Linked DNA regions of Ovis aries. The protein of the gene in region 2 interacts with the protein of the main gene of each other region in a biochemical or structural test. Links are inferred from orthologs where the notes say so. Each region holds a gene or a part of one and is shown on either strand. Other genes may lie near its edges.

Region 1 (4,166 bases), on a different chromosome or scaffold from region 2:
TGGAAGGACTGATACTGAAGCTGAGACTCCAGTACTTTGGCCACCTGATGCCAAGAGCTGACTCATTTGAAAAGACCCTGATGCTGGGAAAGATTGAAGGCGGGAGGAGAAGGGGACAACAGAGGATGAAATGGTTAGATGGCATCACCAACTCAATGGACATGAGTTTGAGTAAACTCCAGGAATTGGTGATGCACAGGGAAGCCTGGCATGCTGCAGTCCATGGGGTCGTAGAGTCAGACATGACTGAGTGACTGAACTGAACTGAAGCCCTAGATCTGGCCTTGATCTCATGGCCAGACCTCATGGTCTGGCCTTGAACAAGTTAGGCGTCTGTTTCTTTAGCCATAGCATAAAGACTTGGTCTACTGGGACTTCCCTGGTCGTCAAACTGGCTAACACTTTGTGCTCCCAATGCAGGATGCCCAGGTTCAACCCCTGGACAAGGAACTAGATCCCATATGCTGCAACTAAGACCTGGCGCAGCCAAATAAATACATGTATATATAATATATATATAAAATTTATAAAAAGGAAAGCAATTTGTCTATTAAACCTCTGAACTTCTTGTCAGCTATCAAATTCTATCATTCATTCAGTCCTTGATGCTTGATCAAAACATATGCGCTCTTCAGGCAGCGAGAAATCAGACCTCCAAAAAAATTGTGGGTTTATAGAGACTTGTCAAGACTTACCTTAAATAGGATGCACAGCCATGTTAAATTCTTAAGTTGAAAAAGATAACAAAGTAACTAAAAACTTTGGAGAGAAAACTTTTCCTCATAGGATAGCAGGCCATGAAGTGACGTGACTTGAATGATTAAGCTGACTTTATTTTCCCAAGCTGCTTTGAAGAGATCATCTAAGTATTATTCCAGACACCCATCACTCTTATTTTTAGCTCTGAGTTTCCTTCACAAGAACAGTGACCTGTGTCTTCGAGTTCCAGAGGGCGCCCAGATATGGTTCATGATTCATGTGCAGGTACTTTGCATTGATTTCCAGGAAGGTCAGGAGAGTGGGAGCCTGGAAAATTGATTTTAGGTGTAAAATCCTTTCTTGCTTTTGTTCCTGTTCCCAGCATTTGATCAGAAATGCACACTCCACAAATTGATCCCTGTATGCCAAAGGCTATTGGCAAATACAACAAAACCCAGGCGATATGGTTCTGCAGGGGCCTCGCAGCTGGTGTGGGGGGAACGACACTCAGGGCTTTGGTCACAAGCTATTTTCGGCCTCTGATAGCAGTTGTGTTACTCATGTCTCATTCACCCCCTCCCCTCAGCCTCCCTCCCCTTCCCTGAACTGAGGGCCAAGGCTGGTGACGGCCCTCATGTATTTAAAGAGGACGTGAGCCCCCTTATGCAGCTGAGCCGACAGAGATCACACAGACAGGTGAGTGGAGCGAAGGGCATCAGGCCTGGGGGTGAGCTGGCCTGGGGGCGCACTGGGACTACGAAGGGTCCGTAGAGTAAGGGTGTGCTTCATAGAGCAAGCGTGTATTTCTTTCAAGCGCCACCAGCCACTTTGGTTCCATGTGAGGAGGGTCAAGTTATGCTCGATTCTGGGGTAGACTAGAACACTCCTCAAAGGGTGATTAGCATTCGAGGGTGCAAGGAAAGCTCCCAGAGAATGAGTAAGGAATCATTTTTGGTCTAAAACTATTTTGATGGAATAATGTTTCTTATTGTCTTAGTCAAAAGGTGTTCATTCTAGTCCTAGGATCACATAACGAATGACATGTGACTTTGAGAAAGTCCCTGCCCTCAGGGTCTTGGTCTCCCCTCCCAGGATCAGTATGGATGTGGTGACATTTTCCTACATTGTAAAGCCCTGCGCAACGTGGTTACAATAGACACGATACAGCAGAAGCCACCTTTCCAATGCTTAAAATACAAGGATCTGTTCTTTTTCAAAAGGTGTGAGTGAGTGACTCAGACTTCTACAGTTCACCTTATCCTGTCTTGCACTTTGGTAAAACTTGAAAGTCATTGATTTAAAACAGATTTTATATCCCAAGGATGTTCAGCAATAGGCTTGCTCTTAAGCATTTGAAACTAATCAAAACAAGCCCCCCAAAAAGACATGTCTGTGTCGAAAATCAATTAAAAGTTCTGTTTGCTGGGAAGACCATTCCCAGCTGGGGCTTGAGGGGTGATTCCCATTGTTTCCCCTAGATTTCAGTACAGGATTCTGTTGTTACTGTTGCTGTTACATCCCAGTGAATGACAGGCATGAGTGTGACTGAGAGTGAGAAATGAGTGAAAATGCTGTCCAAGGATCAGAGCCACCGCCTCTAATTCCTGTTCCCTTCACTGAGCCAAGGTGGTGACTCAAGAAGGGAGGGTTGGCAAACAGGTCTGAGGACCCCTGTCTCTGCAGTACAGTTTACAGTTCATTGCCATTGATGAGCTTATACTGACTGTCTCCTGAATGCAAGGAAGGGTGGGCATCAATACAAAAAGGGCAGGAAAATGGGGAAAACCTGTGTCCTCAGTTTATAATATTTTGGGGATTGAACTGCAACGCTGGGTACATTCAGTTCATTGCAATGTATGTAAAACTTCTATATGACCCAGAAAATGTCAGAGATTCTTCTGGCTTGACTTCGGTTCCATTCTGAACAATTCAGTCCTTAAAAGAAGCCCTGCCTATTGGTAGGGGTACAGGTGACCCCCAGGCTCAGAACCCTCTCAAACGGGCAGACAGGTGCTCTGCAGCCCCCCACACAAGCCATCCACTGGAGATGGAGGAGGTAGGAGATTGGGGGCAGAGAAGGAGAAGGAAAGAGTGAGCAGGATCTTTCAACAGGCAAATTGCTACAGTCCTCCTGGAAGACGGGGAGACAGACTCTTGGGAAAATACAAATTCAGAAATCCTGGGGGACTTCCTTGGTGATCCAGTGGTTAAGAATTTGCTTTCCAGTGCAGGGAATGTGGCTTTGATCTCTGACTGGGGATCTAAGATTCCACATGCCTGCTGTAGGGCAACTAAAACTTTGTGCCAGCCTGTGTGCTGCAAAGACCCAGTGCAGCCAAAAAAAGAAAAAAAAGTTCATGTTTAAAAAAAAAAGAAAGAAATTCTTCAAACTTGAAAAAGGAAATAGTAGCAAATGAAGAGCCTCAGCCATAGAGGCAGTTCAAATTCTAGCTTTGAATATCACTTCCCTGAGTTTCCATTTCTGAACAGTAAAAATTAAAGTTAGGCCACCTATCCCAAGGGCATTTGTTAGAAACAAATGGAATAAAGTATGAGAAAGTAGTCTGTAAGCTTAGTAAAACTGTACCAATAGTTCAGGCCTTGGAGAAAAGGCACAGGGCCACACCCCATGGGCTGCGAGAGGATTTCCTGCTAAGTACAAGTGTGTTAGATGCTCAGTAGTGTCCGACTCTTCGTGACCCCATGGACTGTAGTCTGCCAGGCTCCTCTGTCCAAGAAAGAATACTGGAGTGTGTTCCCGTTCCCTTCTACAGGGGATCTTCCCATCCCAGGAATCGAACCCAGGTTTCCTGCATATGCAGGCAGATTCTTTACCATCTGAGCCACTACAAGTGCGATGGTAGAGGTTGGAGCAAATAACAAGCTGATCAGGAGTTAGATGATTAACCTGTTTTATAAGAGGAAGGACACAGACAAGGAATATAACACACGGGAAATAGAACTCCTGAGGCAGGCAGACTTCCAATTATAAGTGTGCCGCTCAGATTTTCGGGAGTACTATATCCAAGAGCTGGACCTCACAGCCAAAGAGAAATGGCATGCCTTCAACTGTGAAGAATCGCAGTTACTCACTGCAGTGAAGGAAAGCGGGAGAAGAGACAATCATTGTCTTATTATTGGGCCCAAAGAAGACAGAAGCTTCTCTGAGCCTGACCGGTGACCTCATCATGGGAAAGGGGTCATGATTTGTCCGTTGTTTACTGCCCTGTGCAGGCGTGCAGCGCAGTTAGCCAAAAGTCACCAAAAGTGGTGCAAGACGTCATTCTTCACAGCGAGTAACGAAACTTCAGAGAAGCAAAGTAATCACTCAGGGTCACGTGGCTAGGAAGTGGCTGAATCAGGATGCACCCTAGGGTGCAACATGGTCTTTAAAAACAAATTATAAAGGTCAAGAGAGCCGAGTGAGTTTCTGAGAGTAACAGTCGGCCACATCCTCAGAGACGATT
Region 2 (4,035 bases):
CTTAGCAGCAGCAGTAGCAGTCCGTGGTCCTGGCTGGGGAGAAATGCCCTGAGACCTTCACAGGAGCCTAGCCCTAAGACTACCTTGGCCTCCATAGGAGCTCAGTGCCCCAGCTGACAGCGGAGAGGGCTATAAGAAGCACAACTTCCAGCTGTCCAGCTGGTGTCAACGACAGAAGCAAGCCCTCTTGTTAGTATATCCTTGCACCTCGGACTGAGGGCTTCCACATCTTCGCTCTCTTTAGATTCTCACCGCCCCCCCCCCCCTCAACCCTGCAATCACTCTGAGAGATCGCTATTAATATCCTCAGATTTACAAAGTGGGGAAACTGAGGTTCAGAAGGAGATGTGACTTCCACAAAATCACACAGGGAACTGTGGGGTTCTGCTCATTGGTCTGCAAACTCCGCTCTCAAAGACTCCACCCTGAAGTCAGGTTCTCAGGTGGTCTCGGCGTTCTAAGCCTTTGTGCAATGAACTTTCCCTTTTTTCCCCAGCAGAAGAGACATCGCGGCTGAGACCCGCACTGGACATCTCCCTGCGGAAACGCGCAGGTTGAATTGGGCAGAAGTTTGTCTCCTTCCCTTCAGACTGGGACAGGCCCTGAGTTTGGAGAGATTGGCACGAAGCTTTGGCAGCGATCATCGACTCCTGTGTAGATGCGGCTGGGTTTCCAAGCGAGCAGAGAAAATGGGCCCGCGACCCTCTGAGTGATTCCCTTGGCAGGAGCTGGCCAAGTGGTACGACGGCAACGTTCAGTCTCAGGTTCCCCCACTTGGACTGAGTCTCATTTCTCGTTGCTCATCTTCCTGCCTCTGACTCTAGCTTTCTGCTCTCTTAATGTCTCTCAATGCCTCTTGGGTTTACCCCCTCACCGTCTCACTAACTTAGCTTTGAGTGTACCTCTGCCTTATCGCAGTGTGTCTCTTTCCAAATCTCTCCCGATCTGATTTCTACCCCTATCCTGCTCCTGGGTCCCCACAAATCAGTGGACCAAGGGGACCCCAAAGTCAGCCCAAAGGTAAGCGCGCGTTGCCAGCGTTTCCCGCGGAAACACGAGGAGTCCAGGGCTGGAGAAATTTGGAAAGAGTGTGCCCGGGAGCCAAGTGCAGTTGCGTTGGGCTGCCAGCCTCTGCCTTCCTCCCCGCCTGGGGAGGGGCCCGAGCGCTCGCGCGCGGGTGTCAAGGGGTAGGGGGCTGGCCAGTCTCTGGCCCCAGCTGCCACCCTGGGGATCCCAAGCTCCTCCCTGCTCTGTTCCTATTGGCCTCGGGCGCCCCCGCCCCTAGCCGCTAGCTGGGGCTCGGGGGCCCTTAGGCTACTACGGGATAAATAGCCCTGGGAGCCTGGTGTGAAGGTAGGGGTGGGGAGGCCTCAGGGCGCTGCCGCGGCTCTCCTCGCCGTCCGTCCCTCAGGCGGGACAGGACCGGGGAGGGTGAGGAACAGCTGGTTATACATTCAGACCCTCAGTGCTTTGCTCTCTCATTGCCGGGGCTCCAGAACCGCAGTAAGTTTCTGGCAACCCCTGCCGCTGCCGCTGAGGCTGGGCAAAGCCAGGACCGCGCCGCCCCACGCCGGGATATGGAGCTGCTGTCGCCGCCGCTCCGCGACGTAGACTTGACGGGCCCCGACGGCTCTCTCTGCAACTTTGCAACAGCGGATGACTTCTATGATGACCCGTGTTTCGACTCCCCGGATCTGCGCTTCTTCGAGGACCTGGATCCGCGCCTCGTGCACGTGGGCGCGCTCCTGAAGCCGGAGGAACACTCGCACTTCCCTGCAGCGGCGCACCCGGCCCCGGGCGCGCGCGAGGACGAACATGTGCGCGCGCCCAGCGGGCACCACCAGGCGGGCCGCTGTTTACTGTGGGCCTGCAAGGCGTGCAAACGCAAGACGACTAACGCCGACCGCCGCAAGGCTGCTACCATGCGCGAGCGGCGCCGCTTGAGCAAAGTCAACGAGGCCTTCGAGACGCTCAAACGCTGCACGTCTAGCAACCCAAACCAGCGGCTGCCCAAGGTGGAGATCCTGCGCAACGCAATCCGCTATATCGAAGGCCTGCAGGCGCTGCTTCGCGACCAGGACGCCGCGCCTCCCGGCGCTGCCGCTGCCTTTTACGCGCCTGGCCCGTTGCCCCCCGGCCGCAGCGGCGAACACTACAGCGGCGACTCGGACGCTTCCAGTCCGCGCTCCAACTGTTCCGACGGCATGGTAAGGCCAGGACCCTGGGCTAGAGAAGTGCGGGCAGCTCTTGGTATATCAGGAATGTGTTTACGAGAGGGCAAGGAGCTGGCCATCTGGTAGGGAGGGTTGGGCGGGGAACCTTCCAGGGAGTGGACCCCTGGTGGAGTCCACTGCCACCCCAAGCAGCTGTCACTGGGATGGCCTAGGGCTTTGGGGACGCACAGGAAGAATACGATCCACCCGATTGGGGGCACTGTTAGAACACTGCTGCGCCGACACGAAAATCTGCTTTTTCTCCTCTAATCCCTGTTGCCGAAATGCAGATTTGTGCTCCTGGGTGACTGTCTGCCCTCTGTTTGGCCCGGCATGCTGCAGACAGCTCCTGCCCACCCTTGCTCCCGAACCCAGTCAGATCCGGGCCCGGAACTCTCGTTGCTGAGATTTGGGGAGTTGGGGAGTCGGGGAGGGGGCGGCTGCAGGGAATGGAGCTCCTGCCCTGCGCAGTTCCCAGGCCTGACTCGGTCTTCCTTTCCATTTGCAGATGGACTACAGCGGCCCCCCGAGTGGTGCCCGGCGACGGAACTGCTACGACCGCGCTTACTACAGCGAGGCGCCCAATGGTGCGTAATCGCGCCTCCTTCCCCATCCCTTTTGAGCTACTCTGGCTTCTCTTTATCTAAGACCTCCTTGCCCCCATCCTGGGAGATGGTACCGGGAATGAAATACTAAGCATGTAGTTCCCTCCTTTTTCATCCTGAAGTTTCGTGGGATCCTCACGAATTCTGGCTGGCCCTCAGTTTCCCCGTCTGCCTCAAAGCACTGAACTCGGAGGTGGGAGACTTATGCACCCCCGCATACTAACCTACCCCTCCCCGCGCAGAACCCCGGCCCGGGAAGAGCGCTGCGGTGTCGAGCCTCGACTGCCTGTCCAGCATCGTGGAGCGCATCTCCACCGAGAGCCCCGCAGCGCCCGCGCTTCTACTGGCCGACGCGCCGCCGGAGTCGTCTCCCGGCCCGCAGGAGGCGGCCGCCGGGAGCGAGGTGGAGTGCGGCACCCCCGCCCCTTCCCCCGACACTGCCCCTCAGGGCCTCGCGGGCGCGAACCCCAACCCGATTTACCAGGTGCTCTGAGGGGTTGGGCGGCCTCATCGGGGGGCGCCGCTGCCCACAGGCCCGAGGGATGGTGCCCCTAGGGTCCCTCGCGCCCAAAAGATTGCGCTTAAGTGCCAACCACTCTCCTCCCAACAGCGCTTTAAAAGCGACCCTCCCGAGGTAGGAGAGGCGAGGGAACTGTTGTGTTTCCGCCTCCCGCACCCCAGGGCAAGGACATGGTCCTTCCCCCCCCCCCCCCCCGCCCCCCCTCCCCACTCAGCGCTCTTCCCTGAGACCCGCTGTGGTGGCCACTTGATGTTACTCCGTGGGCCAGAGCTGACCCTTGAAGAGCCAGGCCCTTCCTCTTCCTCGCCCCCTCCCCCATGGCGGGGTGGGGCCCACGCAGGCCTAAGCCCCGCCCCCAAGACCCCCGACCGCTTACAGGGGCGTGCCCCTCCGTTCCGGAGCCCCCTGGTGACTTCAGCTGTTTCCCGCCGCTCCCTTCCCAAGTGTTAACAGGTGTAACGGTAACCACTCCCACCCCCCAACCCCCACCCCCGGTTCAGGACCACTTTTTGTAATACTTTTGTAATCTATTCCTGTAAATAAGAGTTGCTTTGCCAGAGCAGGAGCCCCTCGGGCTGTATTTATCTCTGAGGCATGGTGTGCGGTGCGACAGGGACTTTGTATGTTTATACGGCAGGCAGGCGAGCCGCGGGCGCTCGCTCAGGTGTTCGAAATAAAGACGCTAATTTATACCGCG
Region 3 (3,826 bases), on a different chromosome or scaffold from region 2:
GTGTCTGCGACACTTGTCGAAAAAAAATTAACAAAAAAAAGAAACCCCACAGACACACAGGAAGCAAGGACTCAGTAAACATTTGCTGAATGAATGAATGAAACAAAGACACAAATGAGAACATGTTTTCTGCTAGCGATGGAGCAGAAAGACGACAGCAGCACCTCCCGTCCCTCGACCCATCTCCCCGCTTAGAGAGAGTGAGAGACAGGTAGTGAGACTCAGGCTCGGCTTGCAGCCCGGAGTTGGGAATCCTGGGTGGCCCAGGTTGCCATGGCATCGCATTGGACTCCACCCTCTCTCTTCTCCCGCCCCAACGCCCAGCCAGAGTTAAGGCAGCCAGTCACGTGCCCTTCAGCGTAACCACACCTCTGCTCCTCCAAGCAATGTCAAGCGGTCACGTGTGATAGCAACAGATCATGTGGTTGCCATCTCTCTCCGCCTCTTTCCCCTCCTCGCCCCTTTCTCGTTCAAAGCCGCTTTCTGGCTGCCCCTCCGCGCATGAGTAGTCCGGTCACGTGGTCCGAACGTCCGGCGTTGGCCCCGCCCCTCCAATTTCCGCGCGCCTCTTTGGCAGCTGGTCACATGGTGAGGGTGGGGGTAAAGGGGGCCGCTCTAGCCTGCGGCCTGTGTCTATGGTCGGGCCCATAGCGTCCAGCTGCCCAGGACAGACCTCGAGTGTATGGCGCTGCAGGAACCGGCTCCGGGGTCCGGATAACGGGCCGACCCCGCAGCTCCTGACACGGGGCGAGGTGAGTGTAGCCCTTTTCAGGAATGGGGACCATTCTCGCCGTCCACTGCTTCCTACGCGGGCTGGTTATGGAAGGGTTGCTCGAGGGCGGGAAGTGGGGCAGGATGTGATAATGTTCCTTTGTGGCCGAAGGGAGGTGTAATTTCAGGAACTGGGTGTCGGGTCTTTGATGTAGGGGGTGTGTCTTATGGGATTTCCCTTGTGTGGGGCTTGATGGTCCCCAAGGAAAATGCATCTTTGAAAAAGTTATAGGGCCTCACGTGGCTGGAGGGTTTGGGGTTAGAGTTATTGTGTTACCTAGGGGGCTGCCTTCAGGGAAGCTTGGGAATGCTGTTGGTGTTGTCTTCGTGATGTCTTTTGTGGGAGTCACTTTGTTGCTGCAGGCTCATTGAGCCTCTGTGATTGTAGGGCCTCCTCTGGTCTGAGAATGGCTACCTCTCGATACGAGCCAGTGGCTGAGATTGGTGTCGGTGCCTATGGGACAGTGTACAAGGCCCGTGATCCTCACAGTGGCCACTTTGTGGCCCTCAAGAGTGTGAGAGTCCCCAACGGAGGAGGTGCTGGAGGGGGCCTGCCCATCAGCACCGTTCGGGAGGTGGCCTTACTGCGGCGTCTGGAGGCTTTTGAGCATCCCAATGTTGTCAGGTGAGAAGAAGATGGAAGGGTGGGAATGGGTCGTGAAAGGAAAAAGACAGCCTAACCTGTAGATGTGGAGTGGTGGTCAGAAGAGGAGTGGGAACCCTGAGGAAATAGGGGAGGCCATGTTGGGTCCAAGACCATTGCTCAATGAGTGACCATTTGTTCTGGCCAGGCTCATGGACGTCTGTGCAACAGCCCGAACTGACCGGGAGACCAAAGTGACCCTGGTGTTTGAGCATGTGGACCAAGACCTCAGGACGTATCTGGACAAGGCACCCCCACCAGGCTTGCCAGTGGAGACCATAAAGGTAAGTAGGGCGGGCAGACACTGAGAGATAGCTTGAGACCTTTGTGGTAGTTTGTTGTAATTTCAGGTGTGGCACCTGATTCCCAGTTTCTCTGTACTTCCCCCTTCCAAACCAGGATCTGATGCGCCAGTTTCTAAGAGGCCTGGATTTCCTTCATGCCAACTGCATCGTTCACCGAGACCTGAAGCCAGAGAACATTCTGGTGACAAGTGGTGGGACAGTCAAGCTGGCTGACTTTGGCCTGGCCAGAATCTACAGCTACCAGATGGCACTTACACCTGTGGTCAGTAGAATGATGGTGGCCAGGATGGGGCCAGAGTGGGGTCTGGCTGGGGGAGAAGAGTGATTGCCCATAACAGTTGAGAAGGAGCGTGTTTTTCCATGTGCTTTGCAGTAACTTGCAGGACTCTCATCCGCATTACTTATTCCCATCAGGTTGTTACACTCTGGTATCGTGCTCCAGAAGTTCTTTTGCAGTCTACGTATGCAACACCCGTGGACATGTGGAGTGTTGGCTGTATCTTTGCAGAGATGTTTCGTCGAAAGTATGGGGCCCAAGTATCCCAAACATTTTGAATTTCCCAAGTTTTTTATTCATAAGCCACGCCTATACCCTGCCTGCTCTTCCACTTACTATTGGCCACCTTGTCCATAGCCGGAAACTCTGAAATGTTCTGGAATTAGGAATTTCATAGCCCTTTATTCTCCACACCCTATGTTTTGAGCCACTAAACAGTATCTACCACCCTGTCTTTGTAAAACTGCTACTGGAATGACTGTCTCTTTTCACCTTAGGCCTCTCTTCTGTGGAAACTCTGAAGCTGACCAGTTAGGCAAAATCTTTGAGTAAGTGACCTGCAAGGGGGAAGAACTTTGCATTCCGAGTCCTTGACTTTGCATTCTGCTGAGTCCTTGACAGCAGCTGGCTCTGCCCCTGGAGATGGGGGCTGGAAAAAGGCCCTCCTGACCAGAATTCTCTTGTTCCCCATAGCCTGATCGGACTGCCCCCGGAGGATGACTGGCCCCGAGATGTCTCTCTACCCCGAGGAGCCTTTTCCCCCAGAGGGCCCCGCCCAGTGCAGTCAGTGGTCCCTGAGCTGGAGGAATCCGGAGCACAGCTGCTGCTGGTAATAGACTCAGGCATGGGCACAGGGCGAGACTACAGGGGGAAATCACGTGTTTGTCACTCAGTCCTGTCAGACTCTTTACAACCCCATGGACTGTAGCCCACTGGAGTGGGTTGCCATTTCCTTCTCCAGCGGGTCATCCCAGGGATTGAATCTAGGTCTCCTGCATTGCAGGCAGTTTATTTTACCACTTGAGCCATCAGTGGGGGGAAATGGAGCAGGATAAAAGGGACCCAAATGCATTGTTGTTACTGAGACTTGATAATGAACAGGTTGGTTTTTATTACTGTTTTGAACGGCTGGCCACAAGAGGGATAGAAAAAAATCACCCATTCTAGGTATTGTTAGGGTTAAGCAGGAGTCCCTTTTGTTTCTTCCATGTTTTCTGACATTTGCGTCTCTTCTCAGGAGATGCTGACTTTTAACCCACACAAGCGAATCTCTGCCTTCCGAGCCCTGCAGCACTCTTATCTACACAAGGCAGAAGGTGACGCAGAGTGAGCAACAGAATGGCTGGAACAGAACCAAGGCGAGAGACACAAATTTCCCTTCTTTTGAACACTTGAGTGGAGAGCCCCACCACTGAGAAGGCAACCTCTGCCTTCACCTCTGAAGCTGTGGAGACGACTCCTCCAACTTTTTACAGACAATATTTTACTGCCTTAACAATATTCCCCTCCCACCCTTCTTTTTGAGGCTTATCCTTATCCTGTGTCCTTACACCAAGAGATATGTCCCTTGTTCTCCCCTTCTTTATACCTTTATATTGGGATCCTTTTTTATACAGGACAAACAAAACAAATATGGTCTTTTTTTTTTTTTAATATTTCTTCCTCTGATTGGCTTTACTGTTTGGGAATTTGGAAAAAACCATTTGGAAGATGGAATTTCCTTGCAGATTCTCTTTAGATCACAGGGTCAGTGGAGCCCCTCTACTAACAAGGGAAGGAAAGGCATTTACATGGCTTCTTTGATTATAGAGTTTAAATGGTTTTTATTTT

What was found.
Region 1: the proteins of MYOD1 (region 2) and CSRP3 form a complex in vitro, tested with the Homo sapiens proteins (2 studies listed by BioGRID and IntAct, with this or other methods). The link is inferred for Ovis aries from reciprocal best matches to the Homo sapiens genes MYOD1 and CSRP3.
Region 3: the proteins of MYOD1 (region 2) and CDK4 form a complex in vitro, tested with the Homo sapiens proteins (2 studies listed by BioGRID). The link is inferred for Ovis aries from reciprocal best matches to the Homo sapiens genes MYOD1 and CDK4.

The regions. Positions count from the first base shown.
Region 1 is NC_056074.1:23,277,031-23,281,196, forward strand, and holds the start of CSRP3 (cysteine and glycine-rich protein 3), read left to right. Parts: upstream 1-1,366; 5' UTR 1,367-4,166. UniProt on the Homo sapiens protein: Positive regulator of myogenesis. Acts as a cofactor for myogenic bHLH transcription factors such as MYOD1, and probably MYOG and MYF6.
Region 2 is NC_056068.1:34,553,440-34,557,474, reverse strand, and holds MYOD1 (myoblast determination protein 1), read left to right. Parts: upstream 1-1,235; 5' UTR 1,236-1,577; coding exon 1,578-2,207; intron 2,208-2,721; coding exon 2,722-2,800; intron 2,801-3,060; coding exon 3,061-3,311; 3' UTR 3,312-4,030; downstream 4,031-4,035. UniProt on the Homo sapiens protein: Acts as a transcriptional activator that promotes transcription of muscle-specific target genes and plays a role in muscle differentiation. Together with MYF5 and MYOG, co-occupies muscle-specific gene promoter core region during myogenesis.
Region 3 is NC_056056.1:161,900,650-161,904,475, forward strand, and holds CDK4 (cyclin-dependent kinase 4), read left to right. Parts: upstream 1-1,178; coding exon 1,179-1,396; intron 1,397-1,562; coding exon 1,563-1,698; intron 1,699-1,813; coding exon 1,814-1,981; intron 1,982-2,133; coding exon 2,134-2,243; intron 2,244-2,493; coding exon 2,494-2,544; intron 2,545-2,689; coding exon 2,690-2,825; intron 2,826-3,233; coding exon 3,234-3,326; downstream 3,327-3,826.